2 linked regions of the Lepisosteus oculatus genome follow. The protein of the gene in region 1 purifies or fractionates together with the protein of each later gene. This does not show direct contact. Links are inferred from orthologs where the notes say so. Each region holds a gene or a part of one and is shown in the gene's direction. Other genes may lie near its edges.

Evidence for each region. Proteins that work in one complex are often made in the same cells at the same time.
Region 2: the proteins of protein bicaudal D homolog 2 (region 1) and cytoplasmic dynein 1 intermediate chain 1 purify together in Homo sapiens (affinity purification with western blotting; 4 studies listed by BioGRID and IntAct, with this or other methods). This does not show direct contact. The link is inferred for Lepisosteus oculatus from reciprocal best matches to the Homo sapiens genes BICD2 and DYNC1I1.

Annotation. Positions count from the first base shown.
Region 1 is NC_090699.1:63,445,062-63,452,722, reverse strand, and holds the start of protein bicaudal D homolog 2, read left to right. Parts: upstream 1-4,650; 5' UTR 4,651-4,966; coding exon 4,967-5,200; intron 5,201-7,661. UniProt on the Homo sapiens protein: Acts as an adapter protein linking the dynein motor complex to various cargos and converts dynein from a non-processive to a highly processive motor in the presence of dynactin.
Region 2 is NC_090705.1:4,229,804-4,237,594, reverse strand, and holds the start of cytoplasmic dynein 1 intermediate chain 1, read left to right. Parts: upstream 1-4,772; 5' UTR 4,773-4,779; coding exon of another isoform or gene 4,780-4,789; coding exon 4,790-4,908; exon of another isoform or gene 4,909-5,001; intron 5,002-5,078; coding exon 5,079-5,193; intron 5,194-5,322; coding exon 5,323-5,354; intron 5,355-7,791. Other genes in the region: pdk4 (pyruvate dehydrogenase kinase, isozyme 4), read right to left, coding at 758-899, 1,897-2,014. UniProt on the Homo sapiens protein: Acts as one of several non-catalytic accessory components of the cytoplasmic dynein 1 complex that are thought to be involved in linking dynein to cargos and to adapter proteins that regulate dynein function.

The DNA of each region.
Region 1 (7,661 bases):
CTCAAATACCCAACACCTAGGTACATAAAACAGTTTTCACACCACATTCTGAAGGCCTTTCACATTTTCTTCATTTATTTCAGATTCTCTGGCATTACATGCAGTATGCCAGGAAGAACTACAGTGCATAGAAGAGATCTTCATCAGTAGATGTCTTTCACTGATGGATGAGTTTGCTTTTCCCTACATAGTCCCAGTCTTTATTTTTTTGTAAGGGAAAGGGTCAAACTGCTAAAGCTATTGACTTGACTTGACAACGTATTAAGGATTTAGTGCATCGTTAATTAAATAAGAACAATATCTTTCTTTGACATTTACCCAAATGAACAACTGGGACATTTTGGACACCAAACATCATGAAGGCTTGGGCTAAACTGTGGTTTGTGTTTTATTTTAATGTGGTTGGAACCCCCACATCAAACAAGCAATAATACATATACTTTGTTGTTCATAACTCATACGCTATGTAGTGTAGTAATTGGTGCATACAGTGATAAACGAGGTTTTAAATGGTCATGATGTTTAATTCACAGCAAAATACATGACGTGTAACCAGGAACAGAAAACAGGTCCAGAGAATCCATTATCACACAGCCTCTAGGTGAAAGGCAGGACATACTATACCAACTCATGCTTTGTGACAGAATCTATGAGTTATTAAGTGTTTCATGTATTTTATTACATAAAGAAAGGTTTAAAATTATTTTCTTTTTTTAAATCTATCTAATTTTTTTTAAACCTAGAACTAAGTTAGTTGAGAACAAACACTCATTTTCAGTGACGACCTGGAGACCTGTATATACAGCAGGGCCTTGAAAGCAGCAACTGAACCCACAGTCCTCTGGTCTGGAGCACCAACCAGTACTCCACACTGCTGCTTTCCTCAAGTGATGATGGGTGTGTGCATGTTTCCTGTTTCAAAGAAACAAATTGCTTTAGTTTTTCAGCAGTCCCTTACCTGTTTTCAAGTTACCTACAGCTCCATGAAACCTGCCACAACCCATCGGACATCGGACAGTTAACTTTGATGAATTGTAAAAGTATATTATATGTTTGAGGAATACAATTACACTTACATTACACCCATGTAAACCGTTCCCTTACTTTACATTTTATTTATGTTATGTTTACTGTATGGGATGCACGTCTTGCAAACACATATAGAACTACAAACACTGCTTACTAAGTGCGGCATTTAGTTGAGGAAAAAATGTAAAAATGCAAGTACAGCAGTCATTAAAATGCTTTTCTTACCTGCCACTTAAGCAGGTAAAGGCACTGATCTATAGAAGCTTCACTCACACTGAGGTGTGGTTGTGACTGTTTGCATGCCATATGCTGCCCAGTGTACTGCACGTCCTCTGTCAGGACATTTTTCCTCTGGCAGACGGCAGCAGACTTGATTTTCTGTCAGCATATACTGCTCTCGGCGTTTCACAATACCATATCTACTTATTTACAATTTATATGTATTATATCCACCTGAAACAACTGATGAGCACTTCCAAAATCTATGCTTTAAATATTGAGCAGCCATTCAGAAAACTGCTGTCTGCCAACACCCACACATGGGAGAAAATAATTAAAATGGGAGAAAAATAATTAAAACGTGAATTGGATGAACTCACTGAGGCAAAGAGCTCTGGGCACCATCTGTAGAATCTTATGCAGAGTATGTTACAATTTTCCACTCTGCATTATCAATTTTACCCATCCATGTACATCTTTTCTCTTGGTCCCACACAATGCCTTCCAGATCACACGCTATGTACCACTCCATATCAGCCCTGCTTGGATATGTTTAGTCTGTTATACATTCATGATGTTTGTTTAGATAAATCTTAAAATGTAAATTGCTGTGAGCCCTCAAGCTGGGGTTTATGAACTTAATTGGGAAGCAGGGAGGGTTAAAAGAATGCATAATTACAATACAGCTACAGCGCAGTTTGTCCTTGATTTATGATTTGCATATTCTTGATTTATGCTAATTATCAGACCTACACTTTTCAGCAGTTTTTTCATTGATTGCGTTGCAAATATCCCCCATAGTCTTACCCATTCGATCGTTGAAAACATTTACGTGTGTCTTTCTCATTTTACTAATACGGTATGTGTATGATTCTAAATATTTACTTCATAATATATGTGTTTCTAAATGGTTTTCACAATATCGTCACAATATGAGGGTGGCGATGTGTGGGGGTGGCTCTGGTTGAAATATCTGATGAACAGCTAGGTATTTTGGCAAAGAAAGGACTGCAGCTGCTGCTCAGAATACAGACTTCTGGAGAACCACAGCTGCATGTCTTGGATATTTCTGTAGTAGCAAATTTTGGCATGTCATGACATCTGACTGGGAAGAACCCGAATAATGAAGCAAAGCTGACAGACTGCAAAGGGAGACTCAGAAAACGCAGCTGTCAGAAATACAAGAATGGCAATCTTCAGCAAACACAGACATCAACTTACAAAAAGCAAATACATCTGTGACTACTGTGGGAAAAGGGAAACAATAACTGTACAGGATATCTCATGATATATGCCATGTATATGAATGTACAATATAAGGCTGCTATATCTCATAGTTTCATAGCCATAACAGTAGTTATATCAGAATGATGAGAGTTCAGAAAACATGTTTATGTTATAGGAAAGCAGTGTCTTGCAGTGGAGTGTTTAGATTTAATCAGAGTATTCTTGCTTCTTCTACAGTGGGTGGATCTATTTAATTTTGGTTAAGGAAATGTAATCATCGACTTGTTTGAATCAGACTTTTACCCAGCACTGGCAGAATATTTCCTTTTGCTTTTTAAACATAACAAAAGACCTTCAGTTTTCAAAGTCGATGTACTGTATCAGTCTAAGGTTTGTGTTCTCACCAAATTACAAAAGAAAAAGAATATTCTCCTTTTTCGCTTTCACTCGGCCTGATGCTATATTTTCTGAAGAGCGGTATCCAAATTTGTAGTTTCTTATCCTGCTAGTGACGAGCAAGGTCAGATCCCAATTTATTTAACCAAATAATTTACAATGATGGGACTCAAATTGGAATGTACCAATTTTCCTCTGAGGTTATTTAATGGAGCAAACTGAGAGAGGTAACTTGCTTAGAGGCACTATGTAAGTTGTTCAGCCAAATGACATTGTACAACATCCTGGAGTTGCAAGAATGGGAATCTAGCAGAATAAAATGTTGGTGGACCACTAGGTGGTGCTCTTTCCTCTCTAGACCAGAATTTCCAAATGAGAGCCCACAGTATGGTGACCAGGAACTTGTCTCTGCCTGAAGACCAGTGACCCCTGCAGGCCCCCCAAGTAAACAGTAAAAAAAAAGGCTGGGCAGGCATAGAGAGGGGGTTGGGGGTGGGTCTGGGACGCCAGAACCACTGTGGAGACTTCTGGAGATGTTGTGGGCTCATAGACAATGCACTGATGATGGAAGGTGCCCACTGAAACCCCAAAGACATGTCGCCCCCAGCCCCCGCCTCAAGACTCACGATTAAGGCAAGAAACAGTGGTGCGCTCCCCATCTCTAAGGGATTGTACCATCAATTCCCACGTGTCAGAACTGCAGTAACAAGTGTCATCCTGCTGCTGAGATGTAAGACGGTAGTCTTAGATACGTGGTCATTAAGGATCACTGGGCGCTGTTTGTAAGAGTACGGGTGTTGTTCACCCTGGGATTCAAATTAAATCGCGCTCAGGGATTTTACAAGTAACTTCTCACTTCTTCAACTGACCTGCGGTATAGTGGCAGATAATGGCATCCAGGTGCCAAAGTGAGTCCCCTCTTATGTGTAAAGTGCTTTGGGATCCTTTGGGATGAAAACACGACATACAATGCAATTAATTATTATGATACTACACCACATCACAGTTAATGACGTTCTACTGGCAGTGCATAATTTAAATCCTTGTAGTAGTGGAAACGTGAAAGATAATTCTTTAAACTCTGTGGTTTCGAAGTCAAACGTGTACAAGATCTCGAACGCAAACCTTCGTCAGATACATTACGAAGTACTGATTTACCCTCGTTGACATAATCTACTTTTGGTCTGCTTTCGTAATATGCAAGGTATAGGTTAAATACAATACATTTGATATATTTATAATGAAGAGCTCAATAAGACAAATCGGTATTCGTTATGTTCATTTACAAAACTGTAACCGATAATAAAATCGTTTCCTTGTCATTGAACACACGCTCGAATGCAATCAGGTTTAACGACTTAATACTACCGAAGGACTCTAAATACCAATTCCCAAATGCAGTTTTCCACGCACCGTAGCTCATCTCTGACCGGGCCTGCCTGTAAATGCAGACAGCGGTATAAAATATCCGTTTTTTTTTTTAACCTGAAGGTGGCGCTACCGCTCACTCTTCGGGCTTCTGCCGCCCTCCACATATTCCATATAGTAGTCAAAGCGAGCGTTACAGCTTCTGGCAGCGAGTGAGCTGTCCACATGTACAAACTAGCAGTGGATCATGGGAGTTGGAGTTCTTTTGACCCGTCGCGCTGTAGTTACAGCCGACAAGAGCACTGCATCTCCCGGTATGCGCCAACGCTCCCTTGGAGCGCATCCCAGGGGATGACTTCACGACAGTCCGCAGCCCCCCCTCCCATCAGTATTAACTGAGCAGGAGGAGAAGCTCAGGGCACCAGAAGCCGCAACCATGAACTAGATTTAAAAGAGACCAGTATAACGGTCTGGGGGGAAGAAGAAAAAAAAGGGCTGGTTTTCGCGTATGAAACAAAAAAAGCGGAAGGGCTGAAATACAGCAACTGCTAGGGAAGGAGAGCAAACATGCAGTTCAAACGCAGAAGACTTTAAAACCCCCTTTTTTTAAAATCAGAAGGGGCGTTTGCGGTCCTTCCAGAGGCGAGGGATCCGGTTCAAGCTTCTCTGCTCACTGCTTTTAGATCCCCACCCCGCTTGCGTGTGCCGCCGGCCAGCCGAGATCAAGATGTCCGTGGACGAGTATCCCGGGTCGGTGGTGGTGCCGGACGCCGGACCGCAGTGGCTCCGGGCGGAGGTGGAGCGGCTGTCCCGGGAGCTGAGCGAGACGACCCGGGAGAAGATCCAGGCTGCCGAGTACGGGCTGGCGGTGCTGGAGGAGAAGCAGCAGCTGAAGCAGCAGTATGACGACCTGGAAGCCGAGTACGAGACCGTCCGACAGGAGCTCGACCAGCTCAAAGAGGTACGGGATACATTGTAATAAAAAAAAAAAGAAACAAACAGAAATGTTTGCCCGCAACGTTGTTGCGCAGGCGGTGAAACATTTCTCGGCAAGTCGCTGATTCAGCTTGGTCTTCAGCTGTCAAAAGGAATATCGGTTAAGACAGGGGGTTGTTGGGTTTTTTTTTTAAAACGTTTTCTTGGGAAGGATACGCACTGCATCCGTCGGGAGAGGGATTATGTCCTCAGCTGTCCCCGTTTCCGTTAAAACAAGATCGTCTTTTCAGGGTTAAAAACGTTGGCATCTCCAACGCTGTAGCCCTAGATATCGGCGCTGCTGGTGTGGCACTTGACGATCACCAGATTCAGTTTGTCGCATTCAGTCTCCACCCCACCTCCGGGGTTATGTTGTCTTTTATATGCAACTATATATAGGGTGTCCGAATTCAGTTTGGCAGTTTAAGTTTCCTTTATAACGTCAAAAGAGATGCAGAAGCATTTTGTAGCATAAACTTTCAACGAAAAACTAGGCGTATCCATTTGCAAGAGGAGTTCGCGTTCTCGTTTGAATGGTATCTTTACAACTACAGCTCTTCAGAAACGTTTGAACGAAGAAACAGAAGTCGGGATTCGTTCATTTAGATTTTTTGTTAGGTTTTTAAACGGGTTCAACCGGCCCCGTTGTGATTTTTGTTCCGTTTTTGAACCTTTATTGCAGTTTTTGTTTCCCCTCGATTAGATCTATCGCCCTCTACAGGGCGGCCGGCTGATTATGGAAGGGAAGACGAATTTGGCTTGGATAACGTTGAGATAACCTCGCATTTTAGTCAGCTATTAAATCTGGTAGATTTTCATGTTTTGATTTTACACACACATGTATATATATAACCTAAATGCCTCCTCTAGAATGTCATATATGAATATAGACTAATATATAGTAAGTGAAAGCTATTGAAGTTGCCCTTTTTAATTTTAATGTACCTGCTAGTTACATTAAAATGTATATAGGGTGTTTATCTTGAGATTGGGCGCTGCACAAACTGAAGAGCCTTATTGTTAGTAGGTTAAGCCAGCCTGAGACCAGTCGACCAGTGAGTTTAAAGTGCGTCGAGGAATGGACGGACAAGTTTTGACCGTGGTGGAATGTGAGGAATGCTGGTGGGTTCCCTGGTGGAGGGGGAACCCTGAAGGATCAAGTTATTTTCGCGCCAGAATGAGTGTCTGCAGCCTCAACAGGCGGTAAACTGGTGATGTCGATTATATACTGTAAGATTAGCAGGTTCAGACAAATGTTTAAGATTCGTCTGAGGATGCCATTCTGCAAAAGAAAGTGGTCAAATATGGAGCTCGTTGGTGGTTTTCACTGCAGTGTGAGAAACAGAACGCCTCTATAGTGCTAGAGTGCCTCAAGAACAAAAGATTTATAGGGCAAGAAATAGCAGAGTATTTTACTTTGGTAGGGCATTTTGTTTTACTGTTATTTTTCAGTATAAATATTATACTTTCAAGACAAAAACTACATTAGGAGTATTTATACATGTGGAGATCTGCATTTAGTGGGAAACTATAACCATGATGAATATGTATATATTCAGTACATAATCCATACCCAATATCTGCAATGATACCCAGTATATGTCAATTTATCTAAGGTTTTTTTTAGATATTGTTATTAGCTCTGTGTTGTAGTGCTCAGCTTTTTTTAGTTTTTTTTTAAACAAAAAATTATTAGTGTATGATATTTAGAAAGTGAAGGAACTGTTATCGTTTTTTTACAATAATTCGAGGATTCAATAAATGTGGGGAAAAACCATTTTCTGTAATTGCCAAGCAAACACAGAAGACACTGCATCTCAGTGTTGGGTCTTGTTTATTTCTCCGCGGGTGTGCGTATTTGAGTAGTCTTGTCTCTTTTTTTCTTTGTTCAAACAAATTGTAGGAACTCGGAACAGGAACCACAAAGCCCTTTCATTGTTTCTCAGTGTATTCCAGCAGTACAGTTGGGGTGTATGCACTCTTCTCCGATGCAGGGGAGAATGGAGCTCTCTTTGTGCAGACAGCAGAAAGCCCCTAGGTGCACAGTTTGAGGGATGGTCTGGTGAGGAACCAGCACTGAGCTGCAGGCAGTGACTTCAGCGTTTCCACCTCTCGCTGGGCAGCCGGTCTGTGACTGAAAGGGGCCGTGAGGCTGCCTGTACAGTGATTCATTTCCCATGCATTCCTCTGGCTCTCCCACAACACTTAGGGAGAGCAAGCTGTTGTTTGGCCTGTCTCAACGGGTAACCAAGACAACACAAATGAGTGTTTTACAGGAAAATTATGGCCTGAAAACCTCTTTCCACCACAGTCTGATTATCCAAAGTCTTTTTCGGCTTTTTAAAGTCGGTTCGCAATTCCAGATGCAGGCTGGTGAATGTGGCTGTTATGAAGAAAATGTAATAGGCTTAACTCTTTGGGAAGCAGAAATGAGTTGAATTAACTGT
Region 2 (7,791 bases), on another chromosome or scaffold:
CTGGGTGTCTTTTTACACCGCAGTGCTCGTAAATGACAGCTGAATGACAGGGGACATAATGAAACTGCCATGCCTTTATTCATGAACTCACCTTGCAGAAACGAGTAATACAACAATCACACCTGCATGCACGGCTTGCTGTAACTCATCATGGCAAAATGAATGTGTCATAGTGAGGTACAGAATGTACTGTAAGAAATGCCTCAAACAAGAACATGGGTCCATCTTGCCCATTTGCCAGAAAAGGGAAGTCTGTTTTACATTTTTAGGGTATTACTTTGGGATTTAAAATGGACAGTAGATGCAACATAAGCTTGGAAAAGGGCCTTTCATTTTGCAAGCCATACAGTTGCTACGGCTGTCAAAACTCTAGCTCTGCCATAGCAGTGAAACTCTGGGCTCCCCCGAGTAACTGATTTCAAACCTTATACTCAGCACAGTGCATAGCTAGAAAGAAGCATGGATCCAGAGACGACATTTTAGTAAAAGATGACAGTGCGACATCTGGCTTTCACTAGTGACCTTCTTATGAACCATTTTCTGTTAAAATGACTGTGCAGCAGCAGAGTCATCCACAATGCAAAACAGAAATAATAAGCAACAGTTCCTAACAAGAAGCAGCAAGCTATTAAATGAAATGCATTCGCTAACGAATTAGCTGTAATCCGTTTTCGAATATTAGGTTTGGAGAAATCCAGTAGCTACAGTGTTGCTGCAAGCAAAATGCATTAAAAAAAAAAACGAAATCCCTCCTTACCAACTGGTCAGCAACTGCAGGGATGGGGTACTCAGAAGTTTGTCAGGAAGGAAATCAATTTCTTTCATGATGTTAGCCAATCTGACAGGGAGTTCCTGCCTCAGGAACACGAAAGAGGTCTTCTCGCAGGCATTGGAAGAACCTAGAGAAACGACAGGGGGAACAACAATGTACAGTAGTACAGGGGTGATTAACTGTCGAGATTAAAAACCGATGAGCGCAAAGGTGTCTATTCTTAATAGTTCCATTAAGATTCGACGATTTCTATGAACGTCCTTCAGTGATCTTGAGAAAAGGGAGCCTTGTTTTTGTAGCTTTGCTCCATGTGTGGAGCTCATTAGAAACTGATGGGGCTTCTTAGAACGCGCACTGTAACCGCTAGGGATGACGTCACTGGCGCAGGTATCGGGGGGTTTAAAAAGTAATTCGTGAAGTAGAAAGTAATGACGGGCAGGAAGGGCTCTTGAGCTTGAATGCCGACGCTAACCTAACCAGGACAGTGGGTGGCATCAAAGTAGACGCTGAAAACGTCGTGAATCACCAAAACAACAGCTGGGCAGCGCGCTTAATATCAGACGACGAAGGGAACCGCAAAGCAAAAAAAAAAAAGAAAACAAACCCCGCTGTAAACTACAGTACCACGCATTACCACGACCTCTTTTAAAACAACAACCACAACAATAAAAACATGTGTTTACTGGCATAACGGTGGGAGGAAATTGTAAGACATCATCAGCGCCTTTCCGTCCGAGACCGGACAACTGGAGACACGTTGCTTTTTTGAACGAGAAAAACAGCTCCAGCTGTCACGGGCTGCACACAGCATGCACACCCGAGACTCGTGTGTCCCGAGAGTGTTTCCGTATTTTCCTAGACATTCGTAAGGAATCCTTCCAACACACATCTCATGAAAATATTCGGAAATAAAAGAGAAAGCACGCATTTGCCCCTGTGCGTCGCGTTAAAATTGGTCTGTACTGAGCAGACCTCTCCTTGCTTCGCGCAACAGCCTAAAAAAAGACATTTCCGACTCGAAAGAATTGTGCGTCCACAGATGGTAAATTACAATTACAGTAATAACTGCACGGTAGCTCAGCAGTCGACAAGACTTCATAATACCTAAGAGAACAAACCCTCACCGAAATCTAAGAATTGCTTCATTGACAACGGCGAAGGGGAGTACTTGCAGAATCTCTCGATTTGCTTTGGCACATTTGCCATTGCGGCGTTCTTGATTAAAAATTGTGCAAACTTCATGCTGACTTCTGCCTCGAATCCAATGACCCTGAGTCGTCTTTGGGACGCGATGCACCTTCCTTCTGCTGTAAATCCGTTTTGCGTTGGGGTTTGTTTTTTTTTTTTTTAGCCCTGGGTCGCCAAGCAGTTCCTTCCACAGAAAAGCGACGCGAGAATCTGGACTAAAGAAACATGTTGGTTTTCTTCAGTCTTGCGATTGGACTTCTTGAAACTCACGACAGGCTCCTGAAACCGTCTCTCAGCTGCATTCTCCCGTCAAGAGCCTTCCGTTAACTCTACGCTTCCTCACAGCAACAAACAGCAGGCTGAGGTTGACCACAAGGAGACTGACAGTACCTGAAACCAATCATGACAGGGATAGGGAGGGCTGGCCGTGGCACAAACAAGTGCCGGGACACCCCTCTTGAAAATAGCCGAGAGGCCCGGGGATGGGTACCGCAGAAAAATTGAGCTGTTTACTTTCACGTCCCGAGTTTCGTTGAACAATGGCAGTAACTGCCTCGAAATGAATGACTTTCGTTAGTGCGCGCAATTGTCCTGCAGCACCATCCCCAAAAGAACCTGGCACTCAGCCACATTTGGGCTGCCTGTAAACTTCTTTTTTTGATGTGGTGATGCTGTAGTTTTCTCTCTTGTACCTGCTGTTTAGTTAGTGTCCTTAATTTTATTTTCACCTCTTGTCGATCTCTGTATCGTTCCAGTTTTAGTATACTGGTAGGTTAATTGGCTTCTGGGGAAATCGGTCCTGGTGTGAGTGTGTGTGTGTCTGTGTCTGGCCTGTGATGGACTGGTGTCCCGTCCAGGGTGTATCCTGCCTTGGGCTTGCCAGGTTAGGCTCTGGCTCCCACACAGCCCCAGATAACAACGGTATGTAGAACATCAATAAGCAGGGTCTTTGAAAATTAGATTGTTGGGACAGAAAGCAAAGATTAAATGGAGTTTACAACACAAATATGGGAGGGGTGACAGCAGCAAGCCAATCGGTCTCAGATAAGATCAGATCACTTTATTGGCCATATACAGTTTCTTGTATTAGGAATTTTGTCTTTTTCTCATACCCCAGCTTGCTCTCCATCAGACACACAGGCAGGGAGAGAAGCTTGGGGTCAGAGCGCAGGGTCAGCCATTGTACGGCGCCCCTGGAGCAGTTGGGGTTAAGGGCCTTGCTCAGGGGCCCAACGAAGTAGGATTCCTCTGCTGGCTGCGGGATACAAACCAGCAACCTTCCAGCCACAGGCACCGATCCTGAGCCACAGAGCCACCTGTGTCCTGAGTCTTGATCATTCCTGACGTTTCTTTGAGTTAAAAAATACTATCAATACTAATCCTAAGCCCCTTCTCTCCTTTGCATTTGTCTTCTGTCATCCCTCCTCCACCCCATCTGCACCTGGGCACTCTGTAGAGGGGTCCCAGCCTCCTCGTGCCCTGGCCTTTCAATACCCTTTAATTCTTGGGTGCTGTTATTCCCAGAGGAATAATCTAAGCTTTAACAGCAGAGTGTGTCAATGTGGCTGTCATCTCCCAGTGAGACAAACCGGGCAGCTACTGTACAGACTGTACATGCATTTTTGTACCAGAAAGGACAGCGAGCTCATGAGACAAACATGCTTCCAGCACCTGCATGTCCCTTCGACTCCTCAGAGACAGGAGGAGTGACTGTGTTTATCCCCTCCTATCTGACACAGTAGCCCCAGTCACCGGACGTCAATCAGCCAAATGAGTTTTGCTCCACTACACACATTCCCACCTCCCTACCCCCCTCGAATAGGTGTGTGCTCGTTCTAGGGTTCATAATAATAATATTCCTTACACTTAAATACTGTAGCACTTTTCCAGACACTCCACTCAAAGCCCTATACAGGTAACAGGGGCTCCCCTCCACCACCACCAGTGTGCAGCCCCACCTGGCTGATGCGACGGCAGTCATAGTGCACCAGTACGATCACCACACACCAGCTCTCAGTGGGGAGGAGAACAGAGTGATGAAGCCAGTTCAGAGATGGGGGTTACTAGGAGGCCACAATTGGTAAAGGCCAATGAGACATTTGGTCAGGACACAGGATTAACATCCCTACTTTTTTTTGTTTTTTAACGAGTTAGGCCCTCAGTTTTATGTCTCATCCAAAGGATGGCACCCTTTTACAGTATAGTATGCCCGTCACTATACTGGGGCATTAGGATCCACACAGACCACAGAGTGAGCCCATCTAGCCTACAGTATGTGTTTTTTTGTGACCTATTGATCTGAGGAATCCCATCCAGCCATTTCTTCGGCATCGTGGGTGAGAAACTTGCTCCTGACTCCCACCGCCATTTGTGTTAGAAAAAGGCCTCTTGCTCAGCATAAAATGCACTTTCCCTTGGTTGGGCTTTGAACAAATGATTCTGCTCAGGTCTCTGTCTGTTCCTTTGACCATTTTAAATACTGTACTAGAATCAGTTATCCTGTTGCCCTCAAATGCTAATTTTAATCTTTAAATTATATAAGGCATTTAAGGAGACATTCTTGGGGATTTCTACACAAATTCTAATCAGTGAGTATTATCTATAATTTCAAATCAGTAAGACATTAATCTGATACATTCAGTGTATCCACTATTGATGGTACAGTGCGTCTGTAATCATGCTATCGAAAAATGTTGAATGGAAGCTTGTATTTTGTACTACATTACATTAGGACAAATCTGATGCAGGCATAAAATATGCAGAATAAAATATGCAGTGTACCGTGGTTAATATTTTTAGATTCAAGTCTGAATACAAACCGGTGTTCTCATGTATTCGTCTCGGCTTTCTTCGTCTGAACGCCATTTTAACGATGCAATTCAAATAACAAGCCGCATCTGCTGCAGAATTATTCCAGGGATTGACATCATTCATTGTCGGGACAGAAGGTGGGATTTCCTGCGTATCCCACCGGTTGAGAGAAGGAAAGGAAGTACATCAGATAGTGTAGTGATACACTTAGGAGGGGAGATCGGAGCCGCGTAGGTGCATTTTTTTAGTGCGTTCTAGTTTCTTCTTTTCGAGTGGGATTTTAAACAACAGGGTTTTTTTTTTGCAGCTACGACACGTTCAGAATTGCTGTCACTTGCAGGGAGTCAGGCCGGCAGTTGCGGGCTGCGGTGATACAGCAGTTTTCTGAAAAACCATCTAGAGGGGCGAATACAGACAAGAAGGTACGACATGCATTTTAAATACGCGTGAGCCTGCGTTGTTCTGAATGCCGTGTCATTTCATTTTTCTGTTGCTTTTTTCTGTTGTTTTTTTTTCCCCTTTCTGAATGTTTTTATTTCCTTTTCATGCAGTACGGCAGGGAAAACGCTGCACATCACTGGTGGTGAGCCCAGCTAGGTTGTTTTATTTTTGACCTAATACGATTCATTTTCGTATTGTATGTAGATATTAATGTTTTGAAGGAAAGCGTCTCGTACATAATAGAAGCATTAAAATGAAATGACGGAGCAAAACAGTAGGTCGTTTATTTCTTTCTTGCAGTATGCGTATTTATTGACTTACTAATTATGTATGGTATCAGTATGATGGATGTAATTAACATACATGTAGTAACAAATTTGACGGAAGTATGGAGACTCTCGGCAGAATAGTGTTTTATTATCTGCCTGTACAGTCATTACAACATAATAATGAATAGGGTTGTTACTATGTGATGCCACCTTTTGACTTTTTTAGTGCATCAAGATGTTAGTTCAGTATTTTGTAGATGAGATCAGCAATCCACTGGTCTGTGGGCCTAGCTGGTCTAGCACAGATCTCACTGGGATCCAGTTCTGGGATTATTGGGACTCTTTCGCAAGGACCGGTTTTGTGTGTCCAGTGACATGGCAGAGCTGTAATGTCTTTCATCCAGAGCAATTATTGTGTCTTAGGACAGGTGAGTATTGGCAAAGACTTGTCTGAGCCACACTTGAGACCCCTATTGACATTAGGCAGAATTTATACTGCTTTTTCTGATCACCATCTTTGGCCAGTCAGCAGCACACATCATACCAAAGAGAGTCAGGGATTCTAACAGTGCCCTTCTTGGCCTTTGACCAGAGATGAAGCCTTCTGTGGCATGCATGTGTGGGCTTGTCAATGACAAATCTTTGCAGAAATTTCCCCCTTAACACAGTTAGTCTGTAAGACCTGCTCACTGTGCCAGAATTGCACTTCTCATCCACCCAGTGCATAAAAGCACTACTGCAGTACATATAGTACTACCAGACAGCTTGTGTTACACAGTGTTTTAGTCTGTTTTCCTTTGCTTCTGTCTGCTTAATGTCTAGTTTGTGTAAATGTACAGAAGTACTGTATATCTGGTAAATATATGTAAGAATACTTCTACAGTACATATTTACATTAACATATATCTAAATATATAGTGTAGTGTAGAGGATAGCACTGCTACCTCAGAGCCCTGGGTTTGATTCTGGGCTGTGGTCATTCTGGGTGGAGGTTGCATGTTCTTCCCATGTTCACACGTTTTCCCAGCGACTCCAGTTTCCTACAACCGGCCATGGCCGTTTCCATGGTGAGTAAGAGTGAGACCCCTCACTCATTATACTGTAGATCTTCTACAACACAGATGCCAAAGTAGCTGGGCTAGACTTCAGGTGAAGAAGGACCATGTGCTGAGTAGACCTACAGTATATGTTTTCAACTGATGGTATTAAGTTTTTGTTTTATATTTTCTATATTTTATGTTCTGTATTTACCTTTTTTTTGTATTTATCACAATTGTTTTGTGTGTTTTAAGTTTGTTTTCTTTTCTGTTTCAGATCTATGTTTCATTAATGTGCCTGGATTGTTTCGTGATTTTTGTCTGTCAGAAAGGTTTGGGTTTGGGACCATTGGTGGCCTTAATATTTCTGCAGCCTTGTTCACCATACAGTACGTTCTTATGATGACATCATATGACTTAACATGTCAAGCAGAAGCATATGTTTTTTTGTTACTTTCATTTTTAGCTGATTTTGTATTAAAGATGGTGTGAATAATACAGACGCAAGTTAATCAGGATAAGATTATATTTAAACTGAAATATCATGAGATGCTTAATATATGGGGAAGTAAGTATTGGTAAAACTAAGCTTTTGGATATACAGCATATATATGTATTTGTCTTCTGTATCTCCAGAGACAGATTCCTAGCTCTAGGATTAGCTGATAATTAGGATGGGTGCTACAATTCTCAAATGATAAATGAACCGAACAATCAGAATAATTTTGTGAGCTAACGGAAAACTCCATTGTACTGTTCCTGGAATATATTAATTTTTGAACAGAAGGTTTTGTGATGTTTTATTTACTGTGATTAAAAATAAAGATTTTGTTTGATTATTTTAAACTCCTTTAGTGGTTATTTTTTTCTTTTCTTTTTTTCTTTGATTTCTTGTTTTTTTTTAAAACATTTATTTCCATGACATTAAATATTTCAGTTTCAGACCAAGCAATTCTCGGCAATAGGGCTCTGGTTCACAATTATGTAGGAAATGCAACAGTGGCTCCCTTAATTGGCAGTTCTATGTTTTAATTTTAAGTTCTAGTGAAATGAAACTTTGAAACGTGAAACTAATTTTAAGGTACAAGAGATCAAACATAGTGGTAAACAATGTGAGATGAATTATAAAGACTGTGGATTTAAAAGTAGATTTAAAGCTCACTTGAAGATAAACATTTATTTCCAAAGTGAACAGATCAGCTCTACTCTATGAGGGTCAAAATGATGATTATGGATAGCATTTGAAAAGCTCAGGGAAAAAGCATCTTTTTTT